2 linked regions of the Pelodiscus sinensis genome follow. The protein of the gene in region 1 interacts with the protein of each later gene in a pairwise test. Links are inferred from orthologs where the notes say so. Each region holds a gene or a part of one and is shown on either strand. Other genes may lie near its edges.

Region 1 (7,618 bases):
TAAAGCTAAAATTGGTTCTGTCCCTCAGAGAAGTTGTAGCTGTTTCACATTTAAGATGCCTTTTTGTTTTCATTTTTATCATTACCTTACCAGTGAGTATCAGGCAGTATTCTGTGTGCATAGCATCTAGACAGATACTTAAGAAAAATTAAGTGGTCATTCTAAAATCAGACCTTTATCATAGGATACTTAGCCGCATATGAACTCATTAACTATGGGCCCTTTAGTTTGTGTACCTCATTCTTCCACTGTTTGTTGTACAGTCCACTGTGGAGTTCTAAGGCAGGTGCTTCACGAGGATTTCTCAGCTGGAAGAGACATACATTAAATTAGTCAATTAATACTTACGAAGGCACAGAGAATTGGGATTAAAGTTCTGTAATAAGAACTCTGTAAATGAAGCAGGTGTGATGCCCCAGTGCAGGAACAGGTGCTCCCTATGTGGCTAATTAAGAAGGTGGGCCAATATAACATTAACATATACAGCATTTGATCCTTACAGTAGCACCTGGAAGCCATAAAAGATCTGGGAGTGACCCAGTGACTGAGAATCCTAGGGAGTCAGGAAAACCCAGGAGAATAGAGGAAGCCTGTATAGAAAACAGCAGTGAACAGAGAAGCTTCCTAGGAAGAAGGCAGTTATCAGGAAGCCAGTGGTGGTGCTAGCTTACTGATTTCAAAGGCCAAAGCCTAGAAGGATGAAAAGGGCTGGGGGGGGGGGGGGGGGGGGGGGTTAAAAAAACAGTGAAGGGACAGCCTGCTGTTCTTCCTGTGCCAGACAGAGAGCAAAGACTAAAGACAGCTGAAGTCTGAAAGTAAAAAAGGCTGGTGCCTGCTGGCTTTAAGCAGGAACCAAAGGCTGAAGGTGAGGGAGTGGTGAAGAAACTTCGCCAGCCCTGTAGGTGTCGATAGATTGCTGGACGTAGAGGAACCACCAGAAATGAAGATGGGTAGGGGATTCTGTGGGGGTTCTTGCTGGGAAGAGCAGGGTTGTATCCACTTGAAAGAGCTGAAATGGCTGTCCTGGTACAAGGATGGGAGAAGACTGCCCCAGTTCGCCACAGCGTGGTGAGTGCTGCTGGGGCTGTGTCAGAGAACCAATGTGGTCAGGGATGTTGCAGTTGTATTGGATGTGTTCCCTAAATTACAGTGCTGGGATTTCTTATGCACGGGGTTTGCCTATCTAATCTATTAACTCCACATGGGCTCTCCTCAAGAAATGCAAAAAAGGGTAGCAATGGTGTCCTTAGCCTCTGTTTGTCAGAGGCTGGAAATGGGTGATGGGGTGGGATTGCTTGATTATTTTTTCTGTTCATTCCATCTTGGGGCACTTAGTGCTAGTCACTGTTGGAAGACAGAATACTGGGCTAGATGGACCCTTGATCTGACCCAGTATGGCTGTTCTTATCCTCACTGAATTCATAATTAGCCCTGTGGCATCCTTAGGATATTAGAAAACAAATATGGTTGTTACTTTTTGCTGCCAACAGTCGTCAGAGTCGATCACCTGGCAAGATTTTGTTGATAGTAGAAGTGCTTTGGGATTCTTTGGTTTTAAAGTTATATCTATTAAGATTATTTCCGTGTTTATTTGTGGTGGTGTTTGTTGTAATTTGTCACTCAAACTGTCTTTGGATCTCAGTTCCCATGGCTACCACAGGAGCATGTCCTCTATCCATAAGTATGTTTTTTATTTTAGAAAGAATTTAGAGTAATATGACCAGTTTCATTGCTCATAAATATGAGCAGCCAATAACAATGGTTTAAGTGACAAAGTAAGCAGAAGATGTGCAAGCTTTTATAACCATTGATGTCAACCTATTTCAGAGCTTCATGTGTATGACGCTATATAAAACACATCAGTCCTGACCTTGTGCACCTCTGCTAGCTTTATTGATCCAGTGTAATTTCATGGATGTCTTTCCTTTTTCATGTAACATATAGCTATCTAGATTGTAGGTTATGCACTGTAAATGAAATCTAAATAAAAGAATTATGTGGTGTTATTTGCTACTCAAAAGTTATGGATCAATTTCCACTTTGGGTAACAATTGTATTGAAGTCTGGGCTTCAGTCAGCAGCCATACAATTTCATTATCTAAGTGTCAGGGTCTAATCTGATTGGGGGAAAGAAAGAAAAAATAAATATGTTGATTTAAAGAAAGGGAAATAATACATCAATTTTAGCATTCATTTATATTTTGTAAACAGCAAAAGTTATGCAGATGCACTCATCTTTATCATAGAAATATTGTGATAGAACCCAAACAATTTACTAAGATGAAGTGGGAGAAAATATTCAGCAAATTGGGTTCTGAACTTAAAATGTTTACACAGTGTCCATATTTTGAAAAGACAAATGAAATTGTATCACTCTTGGTTTAAAACAGCCCAGCTAAAAGATTTAAACTGCTGCATATTTATTTGAAATGGTATTTGAGCATTGTGTAACCCAAAATTGTTTGTTGAAAAATATACAGAGAATCAAATACATGCAGGAAGCTGCAGAGACTCATCAAATATTTATGGTAATGTTTAGTCCTTTAAAACAATCATTTTGTACTATAAGGGATTTAGAACGTGGTTTTTTTAGATGTTCATCTATCTATATTATAGAGACTATCAGCAGGTGGAAAGCTGGGGCTGTAGAGTCACTCAAGTGGCATTACTCAACAACAGAAAAAGATAAAAACTGGATCCGTCTGCATTTTGAAGTATCTTGTATATTTTCAGTACAAAGCCACAACTGGGGAATGAATCTAGTTACTCCTACTGCATTAAAAAAAGTTTGGACCCTGACACATCTTACTACATGAGTGCTGCAACCATTCATTTGTGGAACCCTACAGCTGCCACCTTCTGTCAGTTTTTGGTCCTCCCTCCTCCCAATTCTAATGCCTAAAAGACTGAAGAGCTAGTCTAGTATCCTGACAAAAAATTAATCTTGATGCTTTCTGGTACATGAAAGCTGCAACAACTCAGATCCAGCATCTGGATTCACCTGGATCTTGTGTCCCTAAAACCCCTAAATTCTATAATTGTGATAGAAGGCCCTGCTGAATCCTACCTCTTTTTAGCACTAACACCCCACCTCATATTATCCAAACCTATATCACTGCTTCTGCTAGACCAGAAGATCTGTGCATCAAGTACATCATTTGTAAGACAAAACTAAAATGCACACTTTACACCTGGGTTTTGCTAGATCCAGAAAATAGTCTATTGTATGTCAGGTCCTCTTTCATAATAAACATGTGATATATATCGTGGCATATGAACATGTGAAAATCCAAATATGCACATGGATCCAGGAGGATATAGCCACTTTTTTCACTTACATCTTGGGGATATATGGCCAAAGGCTTTTGTGACTTTACAGGACACTAGAAATTGAGTGAGTGTGGTCAAACTGGCAGAATCAAAGTGCTAGGTCCTTCACACTGTTCTACTGGAATTTGGTTGGATCTTGCCTTTCCTGTGTTAGATGAACTCTCAGTCTCTTTTGACATTGTGAGATATGGAAGATGAGAGATCAAAGCTGGCTGGATCCAGCTATTGGAACCTATTTTGTGCTCTTCATCCACTGTACTGCAGCGGGGTCTAGGGATTTTTTGAGCACTGGAGGAAATTATGCTTGTCCTCCATAGATCTAGTGGGATTTTTGGTATTGCTGCCCATCACTGCCAGGATCCTAGTCCCATCCACTTATTTTTGAAACATCCGTGTGTAACCGAGAGGCACTGAGACCATTGCCACGGGAGAGTGAAGTCTGCTCTATAGCTAAGGTTGTAGGGCAGACTTCATCATGCTCCCATGTCAGTGGTCTCAGTGCCTCTGGGTTACACAAGCCACAGGCTCTGTCAGGGTGTGCCTGTTTAGAGAGACAATAGGAGCAGTTATATCAGTTCTGGGTCCGTGCAGTGCAATTTGGGTGAGCCAAAGCCTGGCAAGGTCCAGGAAGAACCCCCAGTCACACCGCAAACAGCATTTGAACCCCCAGTCACACCGCGAACAGCATTTGAATAGCAGTCTGGTTCAGGCTGAATGATTCCTTAGGTTTCTTCCAAACTTAAAACGGACTTAATGGCGTGTGAAACCTTAACAATAGATACCTGCTTAGTCTAATAGTTGTAATTACAGTGAATTATTGGATAAGCTGTTGGCTGTAAAATCTGAATGCCTGGCAAAGGGGGAAGCGAAGCCATCCTACCCCAGCGGTAACTTTGTTGGGTGGCATCAGAAAACGGCGCAGATTTTCCTGCCATTGCTTTAGGTTTGGCAGCATTGTGATTTATTTATTCATGTGGGGAAGAGTGAGGGGTGCAGCCGGTTCTAATGCTGGACCTGCCCAGAAAACGGGGCCTTGCTGGAGAAATATTGAAGAGTCTGGAATTGCAAAGCTGCCGCCCCTCTTCCGAAGCAGGGTGGAGGGTAGAGACTCGGGGAAACTAATTACACTTAAAGTAGCCCTGCCCCTGACACAGTCCTAGGGAAAGTGCATGTGTTACCGCATCTTGCAGCCGCCCCTTTCTCTCTCTTCTCTTCCCCCCCCCCCCCCCCCCCCCGTCTCTCCCTCTCCAGTCTAGCCTGACGCAGGCAGATCGAAATCACCCTTAACAACCCAGCCTCCGGGAGAGTGGTGCTGGTGGGGTTCCGTTTAAGATTATGTCGCTAATCCTCCCTCCGTAGCTCTGCGCGGATCGCTGCCAAGCTCCCCCCGCCCCCGCGCAGGCTGGGGGCGTGTTTAAAGGGCTGGAGGAATCCGCCGGCGGCAGGTCGATCGGGAGCGATCGGCAAAGTTGGCTGAAGTGGGGAAGCTGCGGGTACTTCGGGGAAAGTTGCTGGGAGCGGGGGAGAGAGACAGGCTCCGGAAGCAGGAGCCCCTGGCCCCAGGAGGAGTATGGGCACTTTGCGGGATTTACAGTACGCGCTGCAGGAGAAAATCGAGGAGCTGAGGCAGCGGGATGCGCTCATCGACGAGCTGGAGCTGGAGTTGGATCAGAAGGACGAACTGATCCAGAAACTACAAAACGAGCTGGATAAGTACCGCTCGGTGATCCGGCCCGCCACCCAGCAGGCGCATCAGCAAACCACCACCACCTTGCAGGGGGAACACAGGACCAAGAGGCAGGCAATTTCAGCCGAGCCCACCGCATTTGACATCCAGGATCTCAGCCATGTCACCCTGCCCTTCTACCCCAAGAGCCCACAGTAAGCAGGGTTTAAGCGTTGTGTACATCCTGTCTTTGGTAGTTGAATGGTCTCTGTATTGTCTGTCCATCCACTTGTTTAGACGGGTCCTGCACCTTCTGCTTTCCATTTCTGTGCTCATCCTCAGAAATGCCCCCCCCCCCAACCACGCTTCTCTGGGCTGCCCACATTTCTTCAGCCACGGTAGCTGCACGCATCCGTATCCCGCTGTGTCTCTGTCCAATGTCCAGGTATTTCCGAGCCCACTGTGAGCAGAGTTCCCAACCCGTGAAGGGGGAAAGCGCATTCTCCCTAGCGCTGGTGTAACCTTGCCCATCCAAACAATAACCCCGCTAACGGCAGCGTCACCATCAGACTGTCTTTTCCAATGTGGTACGTTCTTATGTCTGGCTTTTTTGTGCTCTTGGTCTCTGCGCTGAGTGTATCCGCAGTGCTGGGTGTTTGACATGTCAACTATATGAAGCAAAATAGAATTTACTATCCGGATTCGGGTGTAGGCTGATCTATCACAAACTGATTTTCTCCCCCGACAAAGGTGTTGCTAATCCCTGAGCTGATGTCAGTCAGCATCCAGAAAGGCAAATCCAATCTCTTGCTTTTCTTTCTTTTTTTTAAATTTGGGACTGCATCTGACAAGTGTGGGGGTTTCAAAGGTCTTACTTGATACAAATCCACATGTCACTAGTTCCACAGCGTTCTGCATAACTGCTTTGCACGTTTCCGGGGGCTAAGGATGTCTCTGAGCTGTGGCTGTGGGCAGGGAGCTAAGTTTGCACATTTTTTAGGTTTTAAACACCGCCCATTGGGACGCACAACTTGGATATAAAAATTGGCTCTTGGCTGTAGCTTAGCAGCCAAGCCCACCGAACTACTAGAGGAGATTTACAATATAAATCCGGTCCACTACACCTGCTAACTTGCATTTAAATCATCCCCCCAGGCGGTGATATAACTGACATAACCAAGGAAATTCCGAGGTTAAAAGTTGCATGGCATGTATGCAGTCAGCCAATTATGGCTGAGGATTAGAGCACATGCTGTTATGCGCTGCTAGGAAACTCCTACGCTGTGCCCAACAGGAGTAAAGGGCTGAGGGGAAGAGAAGGGTTTGTTTCTTTGCTCTGTGCTTTGTTTCCATCCTTAGCAGTCTTTGCTGTCCTCATCTTCTTGTAAGGAGAGGCTGCCGTAACTGTCACGTGACAGAAAACTCGGCAGTCCTTTGTTCAGGTGTGTAAGAAAGTGCTTTTCTTGGTGTTCGTCATGCAGCATAGCCGCTTCTGTCTGGGCTGAGAGGAGGTGTTCAGAGTTTAATGGGGCAGGAACCATAGGTGGACGCGAGTGTTGTTTTAGAAGGTTTATATTGAGCTCCAAGAGCAGTTTTTGTGTGTCAGTTTAAGAAAGTTTATGGGGAAATCCTAAATTTTCACTCCGTTTCCAGCTTAGTCCTGTATCTTAACTGTATATATTGGAAGACTTACGGGTGTATCTAATGAGGTATGTGGCCTTGTCTACTTATGCACATTTGGACAAAGTGACGGTCATAATATGATACTTCCCTGGTTATAGTATAGTTCTGTGCCATTTGATTGGATTTTATAAAGGGCTTTAGAGTAATGAACATAAACCAATTAAATGTATCTAAAGATAACATGAGAAATAATGACTTTGGGGTGAACAATGCTCATCTCAAGATACGAATGAAAAATAAAACCGATCAAAGTCTTGCTGGCAGTGTAATATGGCGTGAAAGGCAGAGGAAGTGGTGGGTGGAGTAATAGGTGTGAGGAGTTCCTTACCTGACATGCAGCCCAACTACAAGAAAATCGGGGACCATCCTAAAGTTGAGACCAATGCGCAGGTTTCCACCAGATTCATGTGCTGAATAATGCTCTGCCTACCTTCAGGTTACTCTTCCTCGCTCTTGTGAGCTTTTCCAGAAGGAAAAAAAGCTGCTCCAGTGACTTTTGCCACTGGGCTGTTTTGGTTGCCAACACAGTAGATGAAGGGACAATTGTAATAAATCTTTCAAGCTTTAAATAAAATTGGGAAGTCATCTATTCTTGTTTCACATTTGCAGCCACAGACTATGCAAGTTGGTTTAAGTAAGAAAACCGAGTACATCTAGAAGAGAGACTATATCCTCCATAGAGTGTTTAATCTTTTTCACTATCCAATACATGTTGATATGTTTGGTCCCGTAATCACGAGAAAGCTTGTATACTTTTAAATTCATGGTTTATATCAAAATACCACACGTATTTCATGTACTATCGGCACAATTACTTTAAAAGAGTCATTTTGGAAATAAATGTTTTTAATTTTGTTATCAAAAGGTTTGCAGTTCAGTGTACTAACTTAGCATATTCTCCTAGACCATAAGGTGAGTGGGAATTTGTGTGGGTGGAAC
Region 2 (7,727 bases), on another chromosome or scaffold:
CCACGGTGAGCATTTAATCCAACCTCCCGGCGCACACAGGCCTGAGAACATCCTCAAAAGAATTTGTCCCTTCATCTTCATCGGCGGCAGCAGAAAATCCACCCGCGCCCTTGGTAAATTGTTCCAATGGTTAATCCTCCCCTCCCCACCCACACACACCCGGTCCAAAATGTCCAGCGTATTTTCTGTCTGAATTTGTCTTCAACTTTCACCTACTAGATGCTGTTTGACCTCTCTCTGCCAGGCTAAGAGCCCCGTATTGGCTATTTTTGGCTACTCACAGGCTATGTCTACACTGGCGCAATCTTGCGCCAGAAGTATGCAAATGAGGCTAGGCGTGGAATATCACCGAGCCTCATTTGCATACCTAATGAGCCATCATTTTTGCGGAAGAGGCTTTTGCGCCAGGAGGAGCTGTCTACACGGCCCCGTCTTGCACAAGAAAACCCCTCTGGCGCAACGCCGTTCTTCCTGAAAATAATCAGCGTAGCGGCATTGCGCAAGAGGGGTTTTCTTGCGCAAGACGGGGCAGTGTAGACAGCTCCTTCGGGCGCAAGAGCCTCTTCTGCAAAAATGGCGGCTCGTTAGGTATGCAAATGAGGCTCGGCGATAGTCCATGCTTAGCCTCATTTGCATACTTCTGGCACAAGATCGCGCCAGTGTAAACATAGTCACAGAGTGGGATCAAGTCACTCGTTTCTTTGTTACGAGGAACAGACTAGGTGTGAGGGCGTGTTGGGGTGTCCCCGTCTCCTGCACCCCCGTAGTGGCACGAGCAGACTCCACCGGCCGGTAGAATAGAGGGAGTTTATTGCTTCTCCAGGATACAGCACAGCACAGATGTAATCTGGTTACAGGAATGGGGGCTAGGAGTCCTCAGTGCCCTCCCTTGAGATGGGGGGTGGCTGGGCCCTACAATCCCAGCCCCCTCCCTAGCTCCTTCTCCCTGCTTCCCAGATAGAAACTCAAACCTGTCTTCCAGCCCTGCCCCCCAGCCAGGGCTGGCCTCCCCTCCTTCCTTTGTTTCTCTCCCCGGGAGGTAACTGGTCGGGCAGGTTGGGAGACCCTTGTCTAGTGACTCATCCCCTGTCCTGCTGGGCCGTGCTACAGACAACAGCCAGTGGGGGTCAAGCCTACAGTCCAAGCTCAGCAACCAGCAGGGTACCCCCACTACGTCACACTAGGGATGTAAGCGACACACTCAGCGACTAGTTGCTTCCCCCCCTTGTTGCCTCTCTCGGAAAGAGGCAACGGGGAGGGGACGGGGGGTAGAGAAGGGAGTGCTGGGGGGAACTGGCTAGGCCCCTTCTACATTTCAAAGGTGGAACGCCGCGCGGCACTTCCGTCTTTGAAACGAAGCAACAGCCGGGCGGGCTCTTGCTACATTCCAAAGCGGAAGCGTCCCTATCGACGTATCGAATCGTTGATGGAAATTCCATCGACTAGTCGATCAGCGGATTCATTTTAACATCCCTAGAACAGACGGATCTCTTGGAGTCAGCCACTAGAGGGCGTGTTTGCATGGAAACGGGAAACAGCCGCCCCAACAGGGCCATGCAGAAGACAAATAACCGCCCTGCTTGAGATCGGCCTGTTTATCAGGATCGTGGCCGAAAGAGCCAACACGACCTTGCACGGGGGGCCCCTGGGCAACTGAACTTGACCCCTAAATCTTTTCCAACATCACCACCCCGTTCATACGGCCTGCTCGCTCCTGGGAAGCCGTGACCCTGAAAAAGACGCATTTACATTTAGCTAGCTCAACACACGTTGGCTACGTCTACACTGGCACCCTTTTCCGGAAATGCTTAAAACAGAAAACTTTTCCGTTATAAGCATTTTCGGAAAAAGCGCGTCTACATTGGCAGGATGCTTTTCCGGAAAAGCACTTTTTGTGGAAAAGTGTCCGTGCCAATGTAGACGCACTTTTCCACAAAAAAGCCCGGGGTGCCATTTTTTCGATCGGGGCTTTTTTGCAGAAAAGAAAACTGAGCTGTCTACACTGGCCCTTTTCCGGAACAGTTTTCCAGAAAAGGACTTTTGCCCGAACGGGAACAGCATAGTTTTTCTGGAAAAACACTGACGATTTTACATTAGATCGTCAGTGCTTTTCCGGAAATTCAAGGGGCCAGTGTAGACAGCTGGCAAGTTATTCTGGAAAAGCGGCTGATTTTCTGGAATAAATGGCCAGTGTAGACACAGCCATTATGTGCTTGCCCCAGCTTACCCAGCGAGCCAAATCGCTCTGTATCAGAGATCCCTTCTCTTCAGGACTTCCCAGTCCTCTCATTTTTATGCCCCTGGAAATGCTGTGGGTGAAGATTTTGTGCTTTCTGCCAGGCCAAGGAGAAAAAGGTGAAATAGCTTAGGGCCAAGAAAGGACCCAGACTTTAATAGGGTTAAAAAAGAGCCGGAAACATTCCTGGAGGTTAGGTCCATCAATGGCGTCCCTGGCCTCTGCCAGAGGCTGGGAATGGGGAGGGATCACTGGATGATTTCCTGTTCTGTTCACTCCCTCTGGGTACCACTGTGGGCAGACAGGACACTGGGCTAGATGGACCTTTGCTGTGACCCAGACTGGCCGCTTTATGTTCCCTGCAAGACCACGCTAGGGGCACCCTTCCACCGCAGCAGGGAGATTTAAGTGGGACGTCAGGAAAAACTTCCTGCTGTCAAGGTGGGCCAACACTGGGGCTATGTCTACACTCGCGGCTTCTTGCACGAGAAATATGCAAATAAGGCGATGCATGGAATATCGCCGAGCCTCATTTGCATACCTAATGAGCCACCGTTTTTGCAGAAGAGCCGCTACACCTCTTGCGCAATGCGGTTATCCCGGAAAATAATCGGCGTGACGGCATTGCGCAAGAGGGTTTTTCTCGCACAAGAAGACAGCTGTGTAGACAGCTCCTTCTGGCGCAAGAGCCTCTTCCGCAAAAAGGGCGGCTCATTAGGTATGCAAATGGAGCTCGGCGATATTCCACGCTCAGCCTCTTTTGCATATTTCTCGTGCAAGACGCCGCACGTATAGACATAGCCTGGAATAAATTGCCTGGGGGGTTGTGGAATCTCCATCACTGGAGATATGTAAGAGGAGGTTAGACAGACACCTGTCAGGGTTGATCTAGACCAGGGCTTCTCACCGCATGCGGCCGAGAACCTGATTGCTTGCGGCCCGCGGTGCAAGTTTGGGTTTACGTGGGACTCAGTGTGCGGCCCCCGGGCGGGAGCCAAAACAAAAAGTCGTCAATAGAATGGCCTTCTGTTGAGATGCGCTTTAGTAGTCAAATTCCTGGACTGTCGTTGCTCATCAAAAGTGCTGTCCTATGGGTGGAAATGGGGTAAATGTTGCATTTTATTAAGATCAGCAGAACTGACTTAAATGGGGCCTGCGTGCTGTGTAGACTTGCCTTCATCTTTGTATTCATGCCCATCAGTGTGCAAGAAGCTATTTGCATTTATTTGTATTTTTAATTTCATGTACATGCAACCACACTTCAGTTGTGGCCTTTGGCATGTGCTGTGAGTATCAGTGTGGCACCCGGGGCTTCCAAAGTTGAGTAGCCCTGATCTAGATGGTGCTGGGTCCTGCCATGACGACCTCTCGAGGTCCCTTCCAGTCCTAGTATTCTAGAATTTTGAGATCTCGCAGCTGTTCACGTTTTAAACCATTGCACCCGGGCCTTGTGCATTTGATAAACATTCTAGCTTCTTAATCCGACGTCATATGCTCCCCAGTCAAACCCCTTCCAGATGCCCAAAGATAGATCACATCAGTACGACTATCGGCATCAGCAAAACATTGTCACAGCAGTGGTCCCCAACCTTTTGGGGCTGCCGGGCGCCCGGGGGCAGGGCTGCGGCCGTGCACGTGCCACACGCAGGGCTGGATTAAGGGGGAGGGGCTAGCTGGGCAGCTGCCCGGGGCACCAACCTATGGGGGGTGCCCGATGGCAGCTGTAAGGTGCGCCGCGCGCCGGAGGGCGGAGCCACACATGCGTCGTGCACCTGGGGGCGGAGCCACGCATGCATCGTGCACCTAGGGGCGGAGCCACGCATGCATCGTGCACCTAGGGGCGGAGCCACGCATGCATCGTGCGCCGACTGCCCAGGGCGCAGGAATGGCTCGAGCCGGCTCTAGCCACGTGCCCGGGGCTCAAGAATGGCTTGTGCCGGCCCTGGTCACTCGGCGGGTGCACATAAATACCATGGCGCTGGTGAGCACCGCATTGGGGACCACTGAGTTACAGGTTCTATGGACCCCCTGCCCACCACTGATTTGCATTAATTACGTGACACCCCTTTCATTCTTAAGTCATCCTCTCCCCAGGATAACGGGGGTCACCAGGAGAAGGTGAGGTCAGGTCTAGAATTACCTGAATCGTCCCTTTAAAAAACAATTGGCACATTTGCTTTTTTCCAGGCCTCTGGCAACTCTCCGGGCTTACAGACAAATCAGCATGTGGCGGATGCCAGGCTGCCTTGGGCTCAGCCGCCAGCTCGGGCGGAGATGCCCACAGGTGTCAGGAGCAAGCCTGGGGCAGCCAGTGCAGCCAGGGGGTGTCTGCGCAGCCAAGCGACCTGGGTCCCTCTAGGACCGGCAGCTGCCGGGCTCCGGATCTCGGGCAGGCCGGGGGAGCGAGCCGGGAGGCGGAAAGCCATTGTGAAAGGACTGGCTTTAGGACCGGGGGAGGCCAGGCCGGTGCAAAGGGGTGTAATCCTGCAGGGCCCGGCAGAGAAGCGCCAGGAGACCGCGTTCCTGCCCGGCTCAGCCTGTCGAGCACCATGGCTGGAGCCAGAGCCGGGGAAGGTGGGACGTGCAAGCCCCGGGAGCTGGGAGGCAGGGCGAGGGGAGCCCGCTGGGTGCATTTCAGGCCTGGAGGCGACCCCCTCGCGTAGCCTGCAGCAGAGAAGCCCAGCAACGTGGCTGGGGGGGGGGGTGATTTGCAAGGCGAGGCCTTTTGCAAAGGGCGGGCCCCTCTGCGCTCGCAAAATGGCTGGTTTTAGGACCGAGCGAGGAGACGCCGCCCCAGGGAGGCATTGCAAAGCGGGGCGCTGCTGGGATGCTCCCCCAAAAGGGGGGGGGGGGATGGTGGATTCTCCTCCGCCCGGGAGCACGGAGCCGTGGCATAGGAGAGCCGCCCCCGCAGCCGTGCAAAAGCCGAGCGCGCTGCAGGACGGGGCGCTTGCAAAATGTCTCTCTCTAGGACCACGGGCCGGGAGCCGCCCGCCCGCCCGGGCTTCGCAGCAGCGCGGCGGCAGGGCTGCACCCGCTCCCACCACGGGGAACAGCCGCCGGCTCGGGCCGGGCTCGCACCAGGCTGCAAGGAGCCAGGAGGGCTGGGAGCAGGGGAGAGGCGCTGTCCTGGGGGGGGGGGGGGGGGTTGCAAAGCAGACCCCCCCCTCTTGCATGCAAAACCAGGAGCTGGCTGGGGCCCGGCTGAGCAGGGGCTGCGCTGCTTTGGCCTCCGCCTTACCTGGCTCCTGCGTCTCTTTTGCTGCTGCCGAAGCTGCTGCCCCCACTCCCCGCTGGAGCAGAATGAGTCAGCCCCTAGGACCCTGCGGGAGAAGGCAGCAGAGGAGGGGGTGGGGGAGAAATGCAAAGCACAGGAGTCGCTTAAAGGGGTATTAACCCTCCCAAGGCCCCGCAGGTTTCCAGCCGGAGGGATTTATTGCCTCCCAGCTCAGGGGGGGTTGCAGCACCCCAGGGACAGCAGGGTGGGGTGCACTCGGGGGCTAGAATGCACAGGGCGGAACCTTGTTTCCAGGGCGGCGGTTGGGGGCGGGGAGCGGTTGGGGGTTGCACCGCAGGAAGTGTGGCATGGCAGGGGGAGGGGGTGTGGGGCCATAACCGGAAGTGTGGCACCCAGCTCAGCCAATGGGAGGGGTGGTGCCAGAGCAGCGTCACAAAGGAAGTGGGCGGGGTGAAGGGGGGCTTTGAATAGGACACAGCGGGGGGGGGGGGAGAAGAAACCAGGAGTCCTGGCTCTTCCCCCCCCCCCTTAACCCAGGAGTCCTGGCACATGCGGGAGGGGAAGGGTTTGCCTGTGACACAAGGAGGGGGCGGGGCGGGTCTGAGTGTTCTGGGCGCTCCCCCCGCCCTTCGGAGGGGCGGAACGGTCCCTGGGAGCCGCGCGTGCCGGGGGGGGCCCTTTAGGCGGGGACGCCGCCGGAAGTGGCGCCCCGCGCCCGGGCAGCCCGGCCGCCTTTCCCCGCCGCACATTTCCTGTTTCCTAGCAACAAAAGGAAGTGTCCGCGGGGCCCGGGCCGGGGGGAGTCGTGCGGCCCCGGCAGGGCGCGCGGGGGGGCCCGTTTCCGCTCCCGGGGGGGCCCGGCGAGGAGCCTCCCCCCGCTCGGCAGCCCCGGGGCTCGCCCCCGACGTGGCCCCCGGAGTCGGCGCCCCCGCCCCCCCGCTAGGCCCCGCCCCCGGCACGCGGGGGGGCCCCTGAAGGTAAGAGGGGGGGCGCCGGGGGGGGCAGAGCCGGGACCCCCCCGCAGCGCTAACCGCTCCCCCCACAGCCCCCCCCCGCAGCGCTAACCACTGGGCCCCGCTCCCCCCCCGCAGCGCTAACCAGCCCCCCCGCTCCCCCCCACAGTCCCCCCCCGCAGCGCTAACCGCTCCCCCCACAGCCCCCCCCCCGCAGCGCTAACCACTGGGCCCCGCTCCCCCCCCCGCAGCGCTAACCAGCCCCCCCCCGCTCCCCCCCCCGCAGCGCTAACCACTGGGCCCCGCTCTTCCCGCCCCCCCCCCCCCCACCGCTGGGGACAGACCCCAGGAGTCCTGGTTCCCAGCCTTCCCCCTGCTCTAACCACTGGCCCCCGCTCCCCTCCTGCGGCTGCGGAGAGTCTGGCTCGTTCCAGCTCCTCTCCCTGCGGTTCCAAGAGTCGTGTCCCTCTTCCCTTCGCCACACATGGGGCTGCCTGTCCCCCTGCTGCATCCCGCCCTAGGAGCTGCTGCGTTGCAGGATGAGCGCTCTGCCAGGCAGCCCGGCCTGTGGCTGTGTTACCCTGCTGGCCCTCCCCAGAGATGGCAGCATCCCCGTGCCAGGCGGTGCATCCCCGTGCTGTGTCACTGTGCGGCTGTTTCCCAGTAGCCCACCCGAGAAGCAGCCAGGTCGCAAGGCGGAGTGACGTGTGTTGTCCCCCAGAGCACAGCGAGCTGCTTTCTCTGCCGACCTTGGGGAGTAGCCTTGTTGACTTGTCTCCTATGAGCATGCTGGGGGCCTAGAAACTTGGACAGCAAGTGTGACTAAACAGAAAACAGCCACCCACATGCACCCTCTGGCTGACCTGGGAGAATGTTGTTTCTTTAGCAATATCTGGGGCATTGAAGGCAAATGGGTTACACTGGGCACAGATCTTATAGTCCCTGGCAGATTGTGTGTCAGGCAGCCAAAAAGTCTTCTCTTGGGCTTCAACTTTTTATACTTCATCTCAAGCCGGCAGCGATCTTTGCTCATGGGAGTGGAAAACTTCCATTGTCAATTTTTTGTCTCGTCACATAAATCTGTGTGGTGCTGGCCTTTTCTGGAGGAAATTGTGGACTCAGAGAGAGTGTGTGTGTGCGCGTTTCCCACCCTGAAGTCCTTAAAATATGGAGTCAGTTAAAGCCAGTTGCCAGTGTTCAGAAACGCCGAAATATACCTGCGTGACGTTACGTTTTTTCGGGGCAAAGGTTACAAATTAAACAGAGTTGCATTTAGTCCTTTATTTAGTTCGTTACAGGT

What was found.
Region 2: the proteins of PRKG1 (region 1) and ZNF646 interact in binary tests that used the Homo sapiens proteins (3 or more experiments, as listed by UniProt). The two-hybrid records come from large-scale screens. The link is inferred for Pelodiscus sinensis from reciprocal best matches to the Homo sapiens genes PRKG1 and ZNF646.

What each region holds. Positions count from the first base shown.
Region 1 is NC_134718.1:37,896,839-37,904,456, reverse strand, and holds the start of PRKG1 (cGMP-dependent protein kinase 1), read left to right. Parts: upstream 1-4,604; 5' UTR 4,605-4,900; coding exon 4,901-5,211; intron 5,212-6,415; exon of another isoform or gene 6,416-6,438; intron 6,439-7,618. UniProt on the Homo sapiens protein: Serine/threonine protein kinase that acts as a key mediator of the nitric oxide (NO)/cGMP signaling pathway. GMP binding activates PRKG1, which phosphorylates serines and threonines on many cellular proteins.
Region 2 is NC_134714.1:133,519,047-133,526,773, reverse strand, and holds the start of ZNF646 (zinc finger protein 646), read left to right. Parts: upstream 1-4,654; 5' UTR 4,655-4,810; intron 4,811-5,477; exon of another isoform or gene 5,478-5,785; intron 5,786-6,044; exon of another isoform or gene 6,045-6,451; intron 6,452-7,727. UniProt on the Homo sapiens protein: May be involved in transcriptional regulation.